3 linked regions of the Drosophila melanogaster genome follow. The protein of the gene in region 1 interacts with the protein of each later gene in a pairwise test. Each region holds a gene or a part of one and is shown in the gene's direction. Other genes may lie near its edges.

Region 1 (6,398 bases):
AATACCTGTTCCCATTATCCTCTGCAAGTGTGCACTTTGCATATGCCAAGGAAAACAAACAAGTGATCCCAAGTCCTCGATTCTCGATTTCCGACTCTCGATCCTGGTTAGTCTTTTTCGCTTAGCCCAAACACTCTGCTGCGAGAGGAGAGTGCCTTTGTCCGGCCGAGGAGCACGTGTAATCCCCGTTCACTTCCTCGCCGGCCGACTACTTACTTCCTCATTAGCATCGCAGGATATAGGTGCCTTTCCTGATGGGCTTAGACGGCCATCGTGGCCGAGAATCAACTGAATGACGGCCAAACTAATCATACATTTGAAAGTAATCTCATTTCATCAATTGTGCTGAAGAACGGCCTTTCAAGGAGTTCCTTTGGGAGGAAGTTGGCATTATCTTGCAAGAATTGATGATATGAAAAAGATAATTTATTACCAGAAACTTACCATCACTTCGAGATGAAAGTGCGGAGGAGAGCGCTGATCTTTGCTTATCCCAAACTAGGGGTTTTTTAGGGGTAAAAAGCGGGAATACAGATTCTCAGAAACAAAATGGCAGTCCTAATATGTGATAAGTTGCTTTCAACTTACGTTTACGACAGGGGCCATTCGAAGCTAAGGATTCCAATATGCGACTGTTAACCCATTAAGACAAAGGGCCGCGAAAGGAGTTAACGGCAATTCCCCGAAACCAAGCACGAATCCAAATCCAAACCACTCCTCACCCTTTTTTGGACGGGTGGGACGGGTCATATAAGGCAAAACCCCTTTCAGTCAATTAGTCGCTGATTTTCTTTGTCACCTAGCAGCGGACCAATATAAAAATCGCAGCCACAATGGTCGGAGGAGAGAACCCTTTTTTTTTTAAGGACCGCCGGTGTCCGAAATATCAGTTTATGGCTCCTTAAAAAACTGCAGCGGTTTTAGGGCCCGCGGACTCGGAATGAGGCCTTTTCGCACGAAGCGTCCATTATGCAATAAAACTTTGGATGTTTTTTAGGCAACAGCATAACAGCCTAATACAGCGCATACCGTGGGTGGGCAACCCGTTCGGCCATCAGGTAGATGATTCCGTAAAAAACGCGCCCAAGGTCACAACTCAAAGGATTGCACAAATATTGCATCTTTGGTTCGGAGCTCATTATGGCGAAGGAACAGCAGTCCGAGTATATGAATATATGGTTTTATGGCCTGCTGTTTTTTACGTTTTTTTTTCGCTGAATCTGGTTTTTACACCGAACTTGGCAACTCTTTGGCTTCGACTTCGGCCGCGACTTTTTATGGCATCTGCTCGGGATCGATTGGGCTGGGCTATACGTATGTCCAGGATCTGGAAGGGCTCGGGTTCGGGCCCGGTAACCGCAGGTAAGGGATCGACTCAATGACGGCGACGTGACGGTCCGAGTTTTAGTTTAATCCACCATTTTTACGGTTGGATTAGCGCACGGATTAGCGGATAAGTTCGCGGTTTTTTACTGATTACCATCGATCGATCCCTCTTTTTATTTGCAATTCACCCAATCCCCCTGAATGGGCAGTTGTAAAAAGAGAATGAATGAAAGATAGTATATAATGTAGGTATTGTTGATAGGATTTGATAACATTTCAGCGTAACAAATCTAAACTACGTTATGTCCTCGAATTAGCTGCAGTAAGTATCTAGCATAACATTTCCCATGGATGATAGCCAACTTTGTACCGCTACCCACTTCCGTTGGCTGTCGAGGCGACCGTTAGGACAAACAGTTAACAAAGTGAAACAACTTGTCGAGGATCCCACATCCCACGCCGCAGCGGAAGCCAAAGGGATAAAGGACGTAGAATCAAGGATGTTTAAGGAGGAGGGCAAACACGAGCAGTCAACACGGACGGCCACTTGTCGCAATGATCCTGGACTCTCGATTCTCGATCCTCGGGCTGGCGGCGTCATGAATCAAATGGGCAGACTGGCGAGTGTCCTTGCCAAAATTCCGGGAAGCCGAGTTTTCATTGCCGAAATAAGAAAAGGATGCGAATTACGCCAGCCGAAAAGGGCTGAAAATTGCAAGAACGCCAGAACTCGTCCTAATTTCCATAATTTGTCACGCACAATCCAACGAATTCGCCATCGCATGGATACACAGATTCTAGATGGGCTGGTCAGCAAAAGGATTTCGAAACAAAAGCGCAAAACAAACGGATTTAGCCATCACAACCCTTGGATGTTGTGCATCTATTATCAACAAACTAGATTCCATCTCTTTTCTTCTGCCAGATGCCTCTCTTTCTGGCCAGAAAAGTATGATTTGAGTGTAATTATAATAGTCTACGGTCGGGGGGTCTTTGATATGCGAAATGTTCTAGAAGATTCAGAAGTATGGTTTATTTCAGTGCTGAAGAGAATAGCCTACGATGTTTAATTGCGGTTTATTCTTTATATTTGAAAGCAATATATACAGCAGTTACTTAAATCTAAAGGTTTAATAACTTAAGATTTTTAAGATTGGTTTTTGGGTAAGGGTTTTATCAGTTGGATGTCAAAGCAAGTAAGTTAGGTACAATTGTAATAAAAAATCAAATGCACAATGCTGGTATATACAAAAATCTGGGGTTTCCTCAAACTTGGACTTATAACATCGCAATGAACGCCTATGAAAATAGAGCCGAAGTTTATAACTCTATATTGATTATGAATATTTTTAACCAATTCCATGAAAACGAAATGTAAAGCACTGCAGAGGTGGTACGAATTTTCCTATTTTTTCCCATTGAATATTAAAACCAAGAAAAAACCATATCCTTTCGCGGAAACTGATGAAACGTAAAGTTCGAAAACTCTTTGTACTTTCTTTTTAAAATTACGTTAAATGGCGAACTAACAATAGCACAAAGAACTATGATTTTTGCGAAAACTGCGAAAACCAAATGAGGGAAAGGGCAGCCGCACCCTTGTAAAACCCTTTCGAAAGCGGTGAGACAGAGAGGGCAACAGGCCAGAGCGGGACAGAGTCAGAAGCAAAGCCAGAATCACCCCTTTGCCCTTTGGCCTTTGTACCGCCTACCTGCTTCGTACCGCTTCGGCTGGCCGCTCGTGTCCGCCATTTCGATGTGAATGAGGCGTCGGCGCAGCCTCCGGATTTTCGGTATAAATGCAGGGGGTTCCGACGAGAGGAAATCAGTTTGCGTTCGACATCGTCAGCGTGAAGATATAGCAACATCAGAGCTAGATCACCAGTCTATATAGCGTCAATCAGTTGGATTAAACCCAGAGACCATACACCGAACACCATGCTAATGCACGAGAAACTCATGGCCGGGCAGTTCTTCGATCTCAAGACTGGTAAGTTGGCCACGCCCCTTGGTTTCTCCTCGATCCGTAAACTAACAAATCCCCTCTCTCTCTCAATCTTTGCAGATCGCAAGCCCCTGATGCACCACCACCAGTACCAGCACCACCAGCAGCAACCACTGCACCACTTGCCGCACAGCCAATTGCCGGTTCAGGGATCCTTGGGCCTACCCAAAATGGATCTGTACACGGCCTACGCCTACCAGCAGCAGTTGCTGGGAGCTGCCCTCAGTCAGCAGCAACAACAGCAACAGCAGCAGCAGCAACATCAGCAGCTGCAGCAGCAGCATACCTCCTCTGCAGAGGTCCTGGATCTTTCCCGTCGATGTGACAGCGTAGAGACACCCAGGAAGACTCCCTCGCCGTATCAAACAAGCTATAGCTACGGCAGTGGTTCCCCCTCGGCTTCGCCCACCAGCAATCTTCTGTATGCCGCCCAAATGCAACAGCAGCAACATCAGCAGCAACAACAGCAACAGCAGCAGCAGCAACAATTAGCCTCCCTGTATCCCGCTTTTTACTACAGCAACATCAAGCAGGAGCAAGCCACGCCCACTGCTGCTCCGCCCAAGGTTACACCAACCGCTAACCTTCTGCAAACCTTTGCTGCCGCCTCTGCTGCGGCCGCCGCTGCTGCTGCCGCTTCTTCGACCAACTCACCAAGACCCGCCAGCAACGCCAGCACCATGCAGATAGACGTTCTGGAGAATCCCCTGTCACCGGCTGTTGAGGCCACCACGCCAACCACCTCCAGCAGCGGCGAGGCGGGAAAGAACACCCGTCCCTTCAAGGCCTTTCCCCGGGATCCCTTGGTCATAGCTGCCAATTTCGCAGCCACTGATGTCCTTTTGGACAATCCGCGAGTGGAGCGCTACACGGAATACCGGAAGCGAGTGCTTGAGCAAATCCGCAGCTCCAACGGAGGATCGCGCACCGTAACCAACCCAAAAATGCGAAGGACCAACTCAAGAAGTGGATCCGTCAACGAAGGCAGCTCCTCAAACAACAACAGCGAAAGCGAGGATCGCGCTGCTGCGGAGGAGTCAAGCGACTGTGACTCCCAGGCGGGCAACTTCGAGAGCAAGTCCGCCACCAGCAGCTCCAGCAACTTGGCTAACGCTACTGCAGCAAACTCGGGCATCAGCTCGGGCAGCCAGGTTAAGGATGCCGCATACTACGAGAGGCGTCGCAAGAACAATGCTGCCGCCAAGAAGTCCCGCGATCGCCGCCGCATCAAGGAGGATGAGATCGCCATCAGGGCCGCCTATCTGGAACGCCAGAACATCGAGCTCTTGTGCCAGATCGACGCCCTCAAGGTCCAGCTGGCCGCCTTCACCTCCGCCAAAGTAACCACCGCCTAAAGGTCCACTCCTCTCTTGATGCGTTGAACGCGAGGATCCGAATCGTATGTCCAGTTTTTGGGTCAGCTTATCTGTGAATAGTTTAGGGGGCTCAACTTTCTTTTTTTTTTACACGCTCGCATTTAAGTACTTTAAGTCCTTGGAGTATACGTTATATTTGGAAAATGTATTAGCTGTAGTGCATCTCGCAATCCCACCAGTTAACTATCAATGGAATCATCTATAGTTGTAGAAGTCCCAGCTAGCTATTAATGTTTAACTTATAAGTGAATTTTTTTCATAGCCCTAAGGAATGAATTTCAATAAATTATCGAAAATAATTATCTCCTGGAATTTCTGTTCTCGTTGGTCGCCTCCTGGAACTCCTGTTCGCCTGGTAATTTAAACCGAAAATCTGTTAATTTTGCTTACAAAATTAGCATTTTTGTGGCAAATTTTGGGATTTTTGGTACCAGGCCAACATACTCAGTAGCGGGTGTCTACTGAAAACCAACTAATCGTTGGTCGCCTCCTGGAATTCCTGTTCGCCTGGTAATTTAAGCCGAAAATCTGTTAATTTTGCTTACAAAATTAGCATTTTAGTGGCAAATTTTGGATTTTTGGTACCAGGCCAACATACTCAGTAGCGGGTGTCTACTGAAAACCAACTAATCGTTGGTCGCCTCCTGGAATTCCTGTTCGCCTGGTAATTTAAGCCGAAAATCTGTTAATTTTGCTTACAAAATTAGCATTTTAGTGGCAAATTTTGGATTTTTGGTACCAGGCCAACATACTCAGTAGCGGGTGTCTACTGAAAACCAACTAATCGTTGGTCGCCTCCTGGAATTCCTGTTCGCCTGGTAATTTAAACCGAAAATCTCTAAATTTTGCTTACAAAATTAGCATTTTAGTGGCAAATTTTGGATTTTTGGTACCAGGCCAACATACTCAGTAGCGGGTGTCTACTGAAAACCAACTCAAAAACAATAAAACACCTTTTTTTAGGGTTTAAATCATTTATTTTTATTCATTAGGAATCGTTCAGTTCCTTCTGAACTTAACTTAATGTGTAGCTTAAAAGATATTATGGATTTTTTCCTTAATTATAGTGTATAAATATGTACCGTGGAGAGATTATACTATCTTACGTGTAAGAATTCATGGGAATGTATTCTCTTCAGACGTCGGAGGAAAATAGGGTCGACTAGATTATTCGCCGACGTGTTCGGGTGGGCGCTAAGCCTGTTGGCATATCGACTGCTGTGGAAGTTTATTTGGTCTCCCAATGGGACAACTTTTAAGTCCCTTTCAAGAACTCCGTTGGTCACATACCAGGGTAGCCCAGATGCATGTCGTGCCGCTCGCGATTGTATTACTCTAAGCCTATTGAGCTGAGTCTTAGAGGCTATTCCCCACACTTGGATGGCGTAGGTCAGTGTTGGATCTATAATAATAAATATAATAAAAAAAAATCTAAGAAGAAGTGTATTGAAAAGGTGTTAGATCCAAGTAAACTTTTAAAATATGAATTTCCAAAACAGTTTAAATTGAAACATCCAAATCAAGGCAACTTTTAAACTAAACTCAACCCATTTTGTATATAACGCTTGTCGAAATATCGGAATCTGTATAACGAAGTGGCAAGGAGAACAGAAAGGGCTTAGCTTAACTGGAGTAAAAGAGATAAATGAACAGACTGATTAAAAATACATAACGATAAGGTTTCGCGTTAG
Region 2 (6,002 bases), on another chromosome or scaffold:
GGCGCAACATTGCCGTCAAGGATGAAATCAAAGAAGAGCACGAGGAATCCTCGCCAGCAACTGGCATTCGCATCAAACAGGAGCCCTTGGATGAGGAGCAGGAGATGTGGGGACGCAAGGCGACAGTTGTTAAGGTTAAGGATGAATTCTCACCATCCAGACGAAGTTCACCCGTCAGAATTAAGCAAGAAAAACGCAGCAGCTCTAGGGATTTAAGCCCAGCGAGATCGAGTAAGCCAGCAAAGCGAGAAGAGAGTCCTCAAAGGGGGCGAAGAAGGGCGGGAAGCTCAGATCAGAGTCCCACCAGACGAGGGCGAGATGGCGATCAGTCTCCGCCACGCCAAAAGCACAGGGATTCCGATCAGAGTCCACCCCGAAAGGCCAGGAATGGCAATCAATCGCCAGTCAGAAAAAGGCGGGATTCCGACCAAAGTCCGCCAAGAAAACGAACGGGAAAAGCATCACCCACTCGAAGGAGAAGGGATTCCGATCAATCGCCACCCAGACGCCGCAGAAGTAACTCCGATCAGAGTCCGCCAAGGCGACGTAGAGACAAGGATTCAACTCCGCCCAGAAGGAGGAAAGATTCCGATCAAAGCCCACCTCGAAGGCGTAAAGCAGACGATCAATCTCCGGTGCGAAGGGAAAGGAAAGACTCCGACCAAAGTCCGCCTAGGAAACGGAGAGACAATGACCAGTCTCCAGTGCGAAGGAGGCGGGATTCAGATCAAAGCCCGCCCCGAAGACGCAGAGATGACAAGCAAACGCCGCCAAGGAGGAGAAGAAACTCCGATCAAAGCCCGCCAAGAAGACCCAAGGATGTAGATCAATCGCCACCGCGAAGAAAACGAGACTTCGACCAAAGTCCAACCAGAAAACGAGACAAATCACCACGCAGACGTCACGACTCCGACCAAAGCCCGGCCAGAAATCACAGAAGTCGAGAGCGCAGTCCACCGCCTCGTAATCGCTTCAAGGAAGAAAGGAAAAGTCGCTGGGCCAAGGCATCGCCCAGCAAATCAGCATCTCCACCTCCGACACACAAGCCGAAATCCACCAAGACACTAGATGGCAAGAAAGCTGGACTGCAGGATGCGAAATCGCTGAAGAAGGAAACCGACGAAAGGCGTCGACAAGAACATGAACTATTCGAGAAAATGTCCAGCGAAATTTCCGGTCGTGATGGCGATGTGCAGGTGCGCAGTACTCGCAGAAAGGGACACCGAGCACGAGATGCCGCCAATGAGGATCCCGCCGAGCAGGGCCGCAAAGAGGAGCACGAGAAAAAGAAGAAGGAACTGTACGATCGCTGGGGCAAGGGGTTGAAGCAAATAGAAGATCACAAGTCCCGCCTGGAGGAGATGGTCCATGAGGCCTCCAAACCGGTGGCTCGCTATGCCAACGACGAGGATCTGGACAGGCATCTGCGCGAACAGGAGCACGCCGACGACCCGATGCTGGAGTACATGCGCCAGAAGCGCAAGAAACGCGACCAGCAGGACAACAAGCCGGTGATGCCCAAGTACGAGGGCAGCTTTCCGGAGAACCGATTTGGCATCCGACCAGGATATCGCTGGGATGGCGTCGATCGATCCAACGGCTACGAGCAGCGTTGGTTCGACAAACAGAACGAACGGCGGGCCGTGCAGGATGAGGCCTACAAGTACAGCGTGGAGGATATGTGAATGTTGCAAGCGTTGTTTGCTTTCGTGTTGCAATAAAGATGTAGGCACTGCCTGTAAAAAAGAAAAGAGCAATTACATTGATCGTTTTCTTTGTTTTATTGAATTATTTTGGAAAATAAAGAATGTAAATAGGTAATATAATATTTAATATTTATTTACAAAAATTTGATTTTCGAAATGCCCGCCACTTTCCCGCCAAATCGACGTGCCACCTGCAACACTGGTCGCCAGCGCAATGCAACCCTGTGTGTAGAATAGCGGAGCAAAAGCGAATGGTAAATAGTCTTCATCTACACCTGCGACCTGCTCGTCGCTCCCAAAAAATCGTTTCAAAACCACGGAATAAACCGTGTAACTGGGGAAAACCCATTGTAATTATCAAGTTTAAAGTGTGCCGCACATTTTGGCTTCAAAACCAGAATAGGTAAGTGACATCATCTGCTAAATAGAAGCATTCTAAGATTTTTGCTTTGTAAGCAATAGAGTATCGATGTGTGTGTGTGTATGTAAATGGTTCTGCTTTTGGTTGCTTTGTTGCTGCTTTCGTTACAGCGAACAAAGCGTAAGCAACTGTATATGTGTATCGAGTGGGACGCCAGTGGTGTGTGTTTGTTGCCCCGCCCCCAATAATTAGCATAAAACTCTCTTAACCACAACAAAAACACCACAGTCGTGTTGGTTTGTGCATTTGTGGATTGGGATTTCGGTGGTTTTCCTTTTTTTTTCAGCTGCTTTGCCTGCCCTTCGCCTTCAGCCGCAATTGTCGGTCAGCCGATGAAAAACCAGTTTGTTTGTTTGTTGGCTTGTAGCTGCTGCTGCTGCGGCTGATTGTTGTGATTTTGTTGTTGCTGCTGGTGCTGCTGCACTGCAATTTGCTTGGCGCAAAATTGGCGCCAAAAGCTTTTCAGCTGCAGAAACGTGTGGAAATGTTGAAATGTGTACGTACCATTCCAATCAGGCATTTGGCGCATGCACGCGCCTGTCGCTCGCTGCAGCTTCCATCTCGCTCGCTCGCGGCGGGATGCAAATACCGCAATCAGCTTTCGTTCTATCTCTTTCCCGTTGACACACATACACACTTCCGCACATCGCATTCATTCATGACACTGCTATTTACTCCCCCTCTCTCTCCCCTGCCCCTCTACGTTCTTCTTTTCGATTCCTTGTGTGCCATTTCGTGGTCTGCTTTTATTTCGCTTCATTTTGAATTAATTGCACTTCGTTAGATTATTATTTTTGCACTCTAACAAAGAGCCGTTCGTTTGGATGTTACTTTGTGTGCAAATGAAGATTTAGCCAATTTACACAATCGTAAATTTAATTTGCGTTAGTGTATGTAAATCCATAATTTTCAGTTTCTATTTCCTTTTAGCAATCAAGTGCTAATTTGATCAATTATGCGCCTTTGATAAATAAATAAATAATGCAGTAAATTTATTTGTTTGATATTCTCTTTAATGTTGTAATTGTGCACTTTTCATACATATTATACTCCTTTGTTCTTAAAAATGCATAAAGTGAAGGTGGTTTTAAATTATGCTATAGACTTTGATTTTTTTAAAAGGTATTGACTAATTGAGTTTTTTAAACTTCAAGTTTACTCATTTTAAATGCATGAAAAACAGTTCTTTATAAGTTTAACTAGTTTTTAGTTATTTGTTGTTAACGGCAGATATTACACGCAATGGACATCGCAAAGATGCTAATTCTTTATTTCCCTAAGATAAGGGTAAAAATATCAAATATCTGTTTCTGAAAGTTTGCCTATTTTGCTTTTGAGCATGAAAACTTTCTTCAACTTTTCTTGGGCACTTTGTGTTTTTGAATGTTCTTTGCATCAGACAGGCTAAGATCAGTGCTTGGCCTTCTTCGACACATGGCCCTCTTAACCCCCCCAAAAAAAGGGGGAGAACCATAAACTGATGGCGCAGACACCCCAAGGAAACCTTCGCTGGTCCAAAAGCAACCCCCAGAGCAAGCTCAACCCTTGTCCTTGGCCCTTCCTTGTGCATTTCCTTGGCTTTTTCCTCGCGAATGGGGTGCTTCCAAGGACCCAGTGACATGACATTGTAATGGCTTAGAAATTTACACGCATCCCATGCTGAGTACGTGTGTTCCAAGCACCCCTTACAATCCACAGATTGATCCTCCCCCTTGGTCTTTGCTCGGAAATTGAGGGGTTGGTTTGTGTCATGCACTGTCAAAAATATTTATTAAATTACCAATATCTGAAACTCTAAATAAATTTCCCAATAGATGTAAAATCAGCACAAGAAATTTGCTATTTTCAAACGCCTTTTTTATCATAACTTGGCTAAAAATGTACTCACATTACAACATTTGATAGTTTTGTGCAGCTTATTATCCCAACTAACGATCTATATCACTTTTTTGTTCATATTTGGAATTTCAAAATTTTATGAATTTTGGATTTTTTGCAAGGGGTAACATCATAAAATTTTGAAAAAAATTTAACAAAAAAAAAAATTTTCAAATTTAAATGCCAATTGATTTAGAATTTTATAACGAGTTTTTTGAGATATGGCATTCCATATTGTGGCTGTTTTTTATAAAATTATGACGAAAAAACGAACTATTATGTGCGGAAAATTAGGCTAAAAAATTATTGCAAAATTTCATATTTACGAATACCACAAATATTGACTATTTGATTTTGATATATTTGAAATATTATTTATTACTGTTTATGTATGTACCAAATTGTTTGCAGTGTAGAATTTTGGCACAGTGATTCGGGTTCTTTAAAGCGTTTTTTAATTCCTTCACATGCTGGAACAACATAGGGCAAAGTTATTCAAATTCCTTTTGTTCGAAATCCTGTTGAATGGCAAAGGGAATTTCAATTCGGTTGATTCGATGGAATTTCCTCGGCACCACGTGTTCCGATCCTGGGATTTCCAATGACTCATACGCTTGGGGTTGTTGCTAGGGAAGCTTCTGAGTGGAGGAACTTCAGTTGGAATTGCCTTCTCGATCCTGGAACTTCCAATCAGTTTCTTTAATGGGAAAACTAGCGTATACTAATTCCTTAATTATTACTTTACCGACTTCAAGCTGCTGGAGGAATAGGAAGAGGGAAAGTCTAGGGGACTTACACCCCGCTAGGCCAACAAATAACTAGAGGAAAACAATGGAATTTTCATAATTTTCCTGGTCCATCTGGTTTTTCCCCCCTGCTTTGTGAACCTTATCCTCTTAGAACAATGCTGTGTAAAAGCGCCCCGCTGGAAAAACTAGTTTCTCCGCTTTCTTTCGATCGGAAAACAGAAGGCGAATGCCTTGTAACCAGTTTCTGCTAATTTGTGCACACGTGCAAATCCTTGGACAAAGGATCCATTGATAGAAACTCGTTCCAGCCCCCCGCCCGAGGCGAAAAGAAAAAAAAGGAAAGTGTTGGGTTCAAAACGCCGCCGGCCACTGACACAGGAAATTAAGGTTAATTCATCAAATTTTCGAAAAAGTTTTCTTCAAGAGACGGTCCGGATGGAAAATGCACTTTTCTTGGATCATTTGTCACTCGCATAATTAGATGCTTGTTATGACATCGCTGGGTTCAAAGTGCGAAGCATCAAGTGGTGTCGAGATGAGTTAGCATTTTAGGATCACTATATAAGAAAATTGGATGATTATAAATGGGAGTTTAAGTTGAGTTCAAGTGGTGTAGAGTCAAAGGATCTCGCAGGATCAACAGGGATTCTTGACGAACCAAAGAACGAAACAATCTTCTTCTCTTCTAATAAATTGTATTAAATCTGACAAAAGTTGTAGAAAACAACAATTAGATGGAATAAAAATATATAGAGCTATAATTCTCATATTAAATTTCATACCAAGAACTGACCTTAGATGATCCTCAGTTGGAGAAATCCTTTAACAACACTTCCTCCACATAACCATTTAGAGCTCGAGAGCTTCTGTTCCAGTTTGGAACCATAAATCAAGATCCATTGTTCGTTTCACGTGGATTGTTCTACTTACCGTACTGCTTACAGAACTTTGTAAGACAGACAATGGAGGGAATCCAAAAACAGGACTCGCGAAGGAGACAACCCGCTGCCCTAGATAACCATGAAAAGCATCCCGAGACTCTTTTTATTTTCATTATTACTACTTGCCCGAATGCCAAATTTGAAATTCCAGTTTGCTTTCGAACAAAGCACACGCATATGGATCAAAGGACATTAACTTGGGTGTTTTTTTTTTTTACGGGGGGGAAGCGAAGACAGCTTGGCTCGAAAGGATCTGCTCTGGCAATGGGAACAATATAAAATGGGAGATGGGAGCAGGACAATGATA
Region 3 (3,885 bases), on another chromosome or scaffold:
CAGCAACAGCAGCAGCTCATCGAACAACAATACCTGACCAGTCGCATTCAGCACGAGGCCAATCTGCAGCAGCAGATCCGCCTGAGTCTCTACTATGTGCGCTTCCTGCAGCAGGCGATGGCCTCCACGGAGCCACTGCCTCCCACACAGCCAAGGCACATGATGCCGCGCCAACAGACCACCACCCAGCATCCTTGAAGGGTGGACATGGTGCAACGACTGGGCGCTGCTCAATGCGCCCTAACTTATTGTAGAAAAGCTGAATAGTGATTGTGATTACTTTTAAAGTTTAATTTATTTATCTGGTTGACTAAACAATAAACACACTAATTGTTATCGAAATAACTTGTAATTTTTATAGAATTTTGTAATAATTGGTTTTTAGTTGGTTTCTGATTGATTGAAATCTAACTCGGGGTCTTATTTATTGAATCTTATTTGGAAGTCTGATATTTCTTTTCCGCCGTTTAACATCATGAGGATTTGTTCTAGACCAAAACTGACCGGAAGCATCAGCTCATAAGAGTTACCTCACTTGGTTTTTCTGCCATTATATAACATTAAATACATCTTATGTAATTAATTTCTTGGAAGCGCAATTTGCAATGCTAATTAAGGTGTGAAGTAATTCTAGTGATTCACATAGCCAGACTACAGTGAGAATTGAATCGATTCGGCACGAGTGACATATTGTGGGAAACACGGAATAAAATTGTAATTTATTTCAGTTGGATTTAATTATTTAATTTATAAACAAATCAGCATAGCGAACGAACAAAGTGCTTGCAAAATAATTAAAACACGGTGACAATAAGATCCGCCTTTATATTTAAATAATCATCAATGAAATCATCATATTGTTGTCCGCGATTAAAAATTGCGCAGATAAATAAATCTTAATATACTAAATTATTTACACGAATAGTGTTTTACTAATTCATTTATATATATGATATATGCCGTATACATGTTTGTACGAAGTTTATTTAACTCTTTAAATATTTTTAAAGGCGTGTTTTACTACCTAAACTAATAAATGGATTAAATATATTTAATTCACCTCTCAAGACTTCCATGAATGCAATTCCTTCTCCGTAAACTGAAATCGCATCTGTCAGCAGTCTTTAAAAATCCTTGACACTTTTTTCTAACCACCGACCAGGACATATAATGCCATGTCATTCTAGAGGAAAAGTGTTCGGCAAAGGACCCTCGAGAATTTCCAGGGAATTAAAACAAAGTGTGCTGAGGAACCAGGAGCCAAAGGGACCACACACGGTGCCACAACAAATTGTGTCATGCAGGTCAATAAAAAAATGCATCGCCTGCATAACAGTTGTTCGGTCCAGAACTTTCCTGTTCCGGTGGCCACATTTGTCCGATAATCCAGGTAATCCACACACCAAAAAAAGGATAATGAGGCAATCCTGCGACGACAATTAGCGCTGTGATAGAGCAGGTCATAAAATATGCTGCTTAATCCAGGACGGAGATTACCTAATGCGGAATGGATGCGCTAATCCCTTTGTTGACAGACCCAAAACAAAGGGATTTCCCTATGTGGCTACCTGTACCGCCTACCTACTGTGCTTATAACCAGGATATCAATCTCGAAGCCAATCATTCAGCAAGCGATCGTCCAACGAGTCACATCATCACCACAACTCATTCGGAGTCATATTATCGAAATACAAAAATGGAGAACTCATCGAGCTACACCCACAAGAAGTTTGCCGTCAGCAAGCGGAAACGGGAAGTGGACCATGACAAGGAGAACCAAACTCAGCAGTCGGAACAGCCGATCTTCAAGCGCCGTCAGACACAGGGATTCTTCCGACCTTGGTTGGATAATGAGCAGAACCAACAGGCGGAGAAGGAGACGTCAACGGCGGCGAAACCCAGTGGCCCAGGATCCTCGGTCAGCCAGTACCGTGCCAACATGGTGCGCCGCAGTAACACCAATCGTCAGCGAAGCCCCAAGGAGCAGATGCGCCGCGATAGAAACACGCTGGCTTGCCTACTCAGCCGGCGGGCCAAGCAGGCACAGGAGGAGCAAGTGGGTCAGCAGTACGAGCAGTATCGGAGTCATCATGCCGCCATGCTGGAACAGCAGGTGCGCCTCAGTCTATACTACCGCCACATCCTCCAACAGGCGGTGTTCCAGCGTGCCATAAATCCGGCACCGGGTCACATCCTGCCGCAGCAGCAACAACAGTTCCTCCAGCAGATGGCCCTCTCCCAGCAGATGCTCATCTTTGGTGGCCAGCACTGCTGACCGTCCAAAATCATATCATAATCAGCGACTATGGATAGCCCAATCATGTGATTTAGTTTATTAAGCCTTAATTATTAATATTTATTGTTGACTTTGAAATAAATCAAAAGTTATGCATTTAATTTAAATTGCCGGTTTTGTTAACTGGGGGTTATCACTTGGAAAATTCGAAATTTAATCTAAAATGATTGTTAAATTTGTTAGGAGGTCAGTGGATCGCAACCATTACATTTTTTTACATATGTATAATAATGCTATATATATTAGGATTTTAAACATCTTTAAGTTAACCCACCGGCTTGAAAAATAGTAAAATTATATAAAATGATTAAGAGATCAATTATCATTTCTAATTTAATTACAACCTAATCGTGATCATAATATATAAAATTTATGGTATAATTTTTAGCTCAATAAAACTAAAAGTACTGCTATCAAAAGTAGATTATCTATTATTTGATATGACTTTTGGTAAAAAAGGGCTCAATCAAGGGCTCAAAAACCACTTACTCCAGTGACTTGTCTGACCACTGGAGTAAGTGAGTCATCGAAGCATTGACAGATTTTTCCGAGAAACCATTTACCCAGAGTGCCATTACCCAGCAAAGTTCAACTAATTGTTGTCTAGCTAATTTTCATGGCGTTCTCATTTCGTGGCGGCTTTCGTCAAGGTTCAAACCCGCCACAAAGAACCACATTTTGGACTGGGCCAAGCTTTTTGGCATCGCCTTCAACGCGGTGGATTGTTGGCTAATGATATTGACAGAGATCGGATGTGGCGATATGGAGATATAGACAAAGTCCAAGCAAAGCTTCAAGTTCAATTGGCCAGTGAGACGGAGTTTTGCAAGCACACACAGCTCGAAGCGCAGAAATGCAATTTTCAATGTTAGGCCAGTTGGAAAAAAAGAAGAAAAAAGCCAAAAACAAAAAAACCAAATGCAGCCACAAAAAAAAAAACTCAACAATTAACTGAAATTGATGTTTGGCTGCATGGTACAAGTGCAAAGTGGTTTACTGGGTTGTTGGAGTTGCGACGGAAATTTGCGCCATAGGAAGTCGGACTGCCACAAGTACTATCAATGAAAATTAAAAGTAATTAACTGCTCGCGCACAGCGATTGCGCAATCGCCAAAAGAGTTAATTATGTTATGTGCAGGGGGCTTCCCCGGCAGCATGAATACTTCGACTAAATCATAGCTCCTATTTTTCACTCACAGCCCGATGCAGTTGGCTGCATATGAGGCGGGTGCACTCAGTGACGAACATCAGCCTATGTTTTTTCCATCGGATCACCCGAACTTCCTCATAGACCGTTGATTTTCTACATGGTTAGGCATTATGCAAGTTAGCTGGAGTGAAAGCAAAGTTAGGATTGCAATTGGCTTTTCTCTTGGTATGCATCGAAACCCTTTCTTTGTGACCTCATTCTATGAAATTAGTTAGAATTGGCCATTACAAATTGATTAATTAACAATTACACGAGTAAATATTTTAAGAAATTCTATGAATAAGCAAACCCTTGAAATTAATATCAGTTTTCAATTACTTTCAACTCAAGCTAGACAAATTTGCAACTAACAAGCTAACGTTATTTCGCTGAATTCATT

The links.
Region 2: the proteins of gt (region 1) and REPTOR come close enough for resonance energy transfer, tested with the Drosophila melanogaster proteins (one study listed by BioGRID).
Region 3: the proteins of gt (region 1) and CG16815 come close enough for resonance energy transfer, tested with the Drosophila melanogaster proteins (one study listed by BioGRID).

Annotation. Positions count from the first base shown.
Region 1 is NC_004354.4:2,425,719-2,432,116, reverse strand, and holds gt (giant), read left to right. Parts: upstream 1-3,149; 5' UTR 3,150-3,264; coding exon 3,265-3,316; intron 3,317-3,391; coding exon 3,392-4,686; 3' UTR 4,687-5,004; downstream 5,005-6,398. UniProt on the Drosophila melanogaster protein: Represses the expression of both the krueppel and knirps segmentation gap genes. Binds, in vitro, to the krueppel regulatory elements CD1 and CD2. It is required in the early embryo for the development of portions of the head and abdomen.
Region 2 is NT_033777.3:24,578,820-24,584,821, reverse strand, and holds the start of REPTOR (repressed by TOR), read left to right. Parts: upstream 1-1,957; 5' UTR 1,958-2,109; intron 2,110-6,002. Other genes in the region: CG13625 (uncharacterized protein), read left to right, coding at 1-1,685.
Region 3 is NT_033779.5:13,228,210-13,232,094, forward strand, and holds CG16815 (uncharacterized protein), read left to right. Parts: upstream 1-1,622; 5' UTR 1,623-1,696; coding exon 1,697-2,275; 3' UTR 2,276-2,340; downstream 2,341-3,885. Other genes in the region: CG16813 (uncharacterized protein), read left to right, coding at 1-198.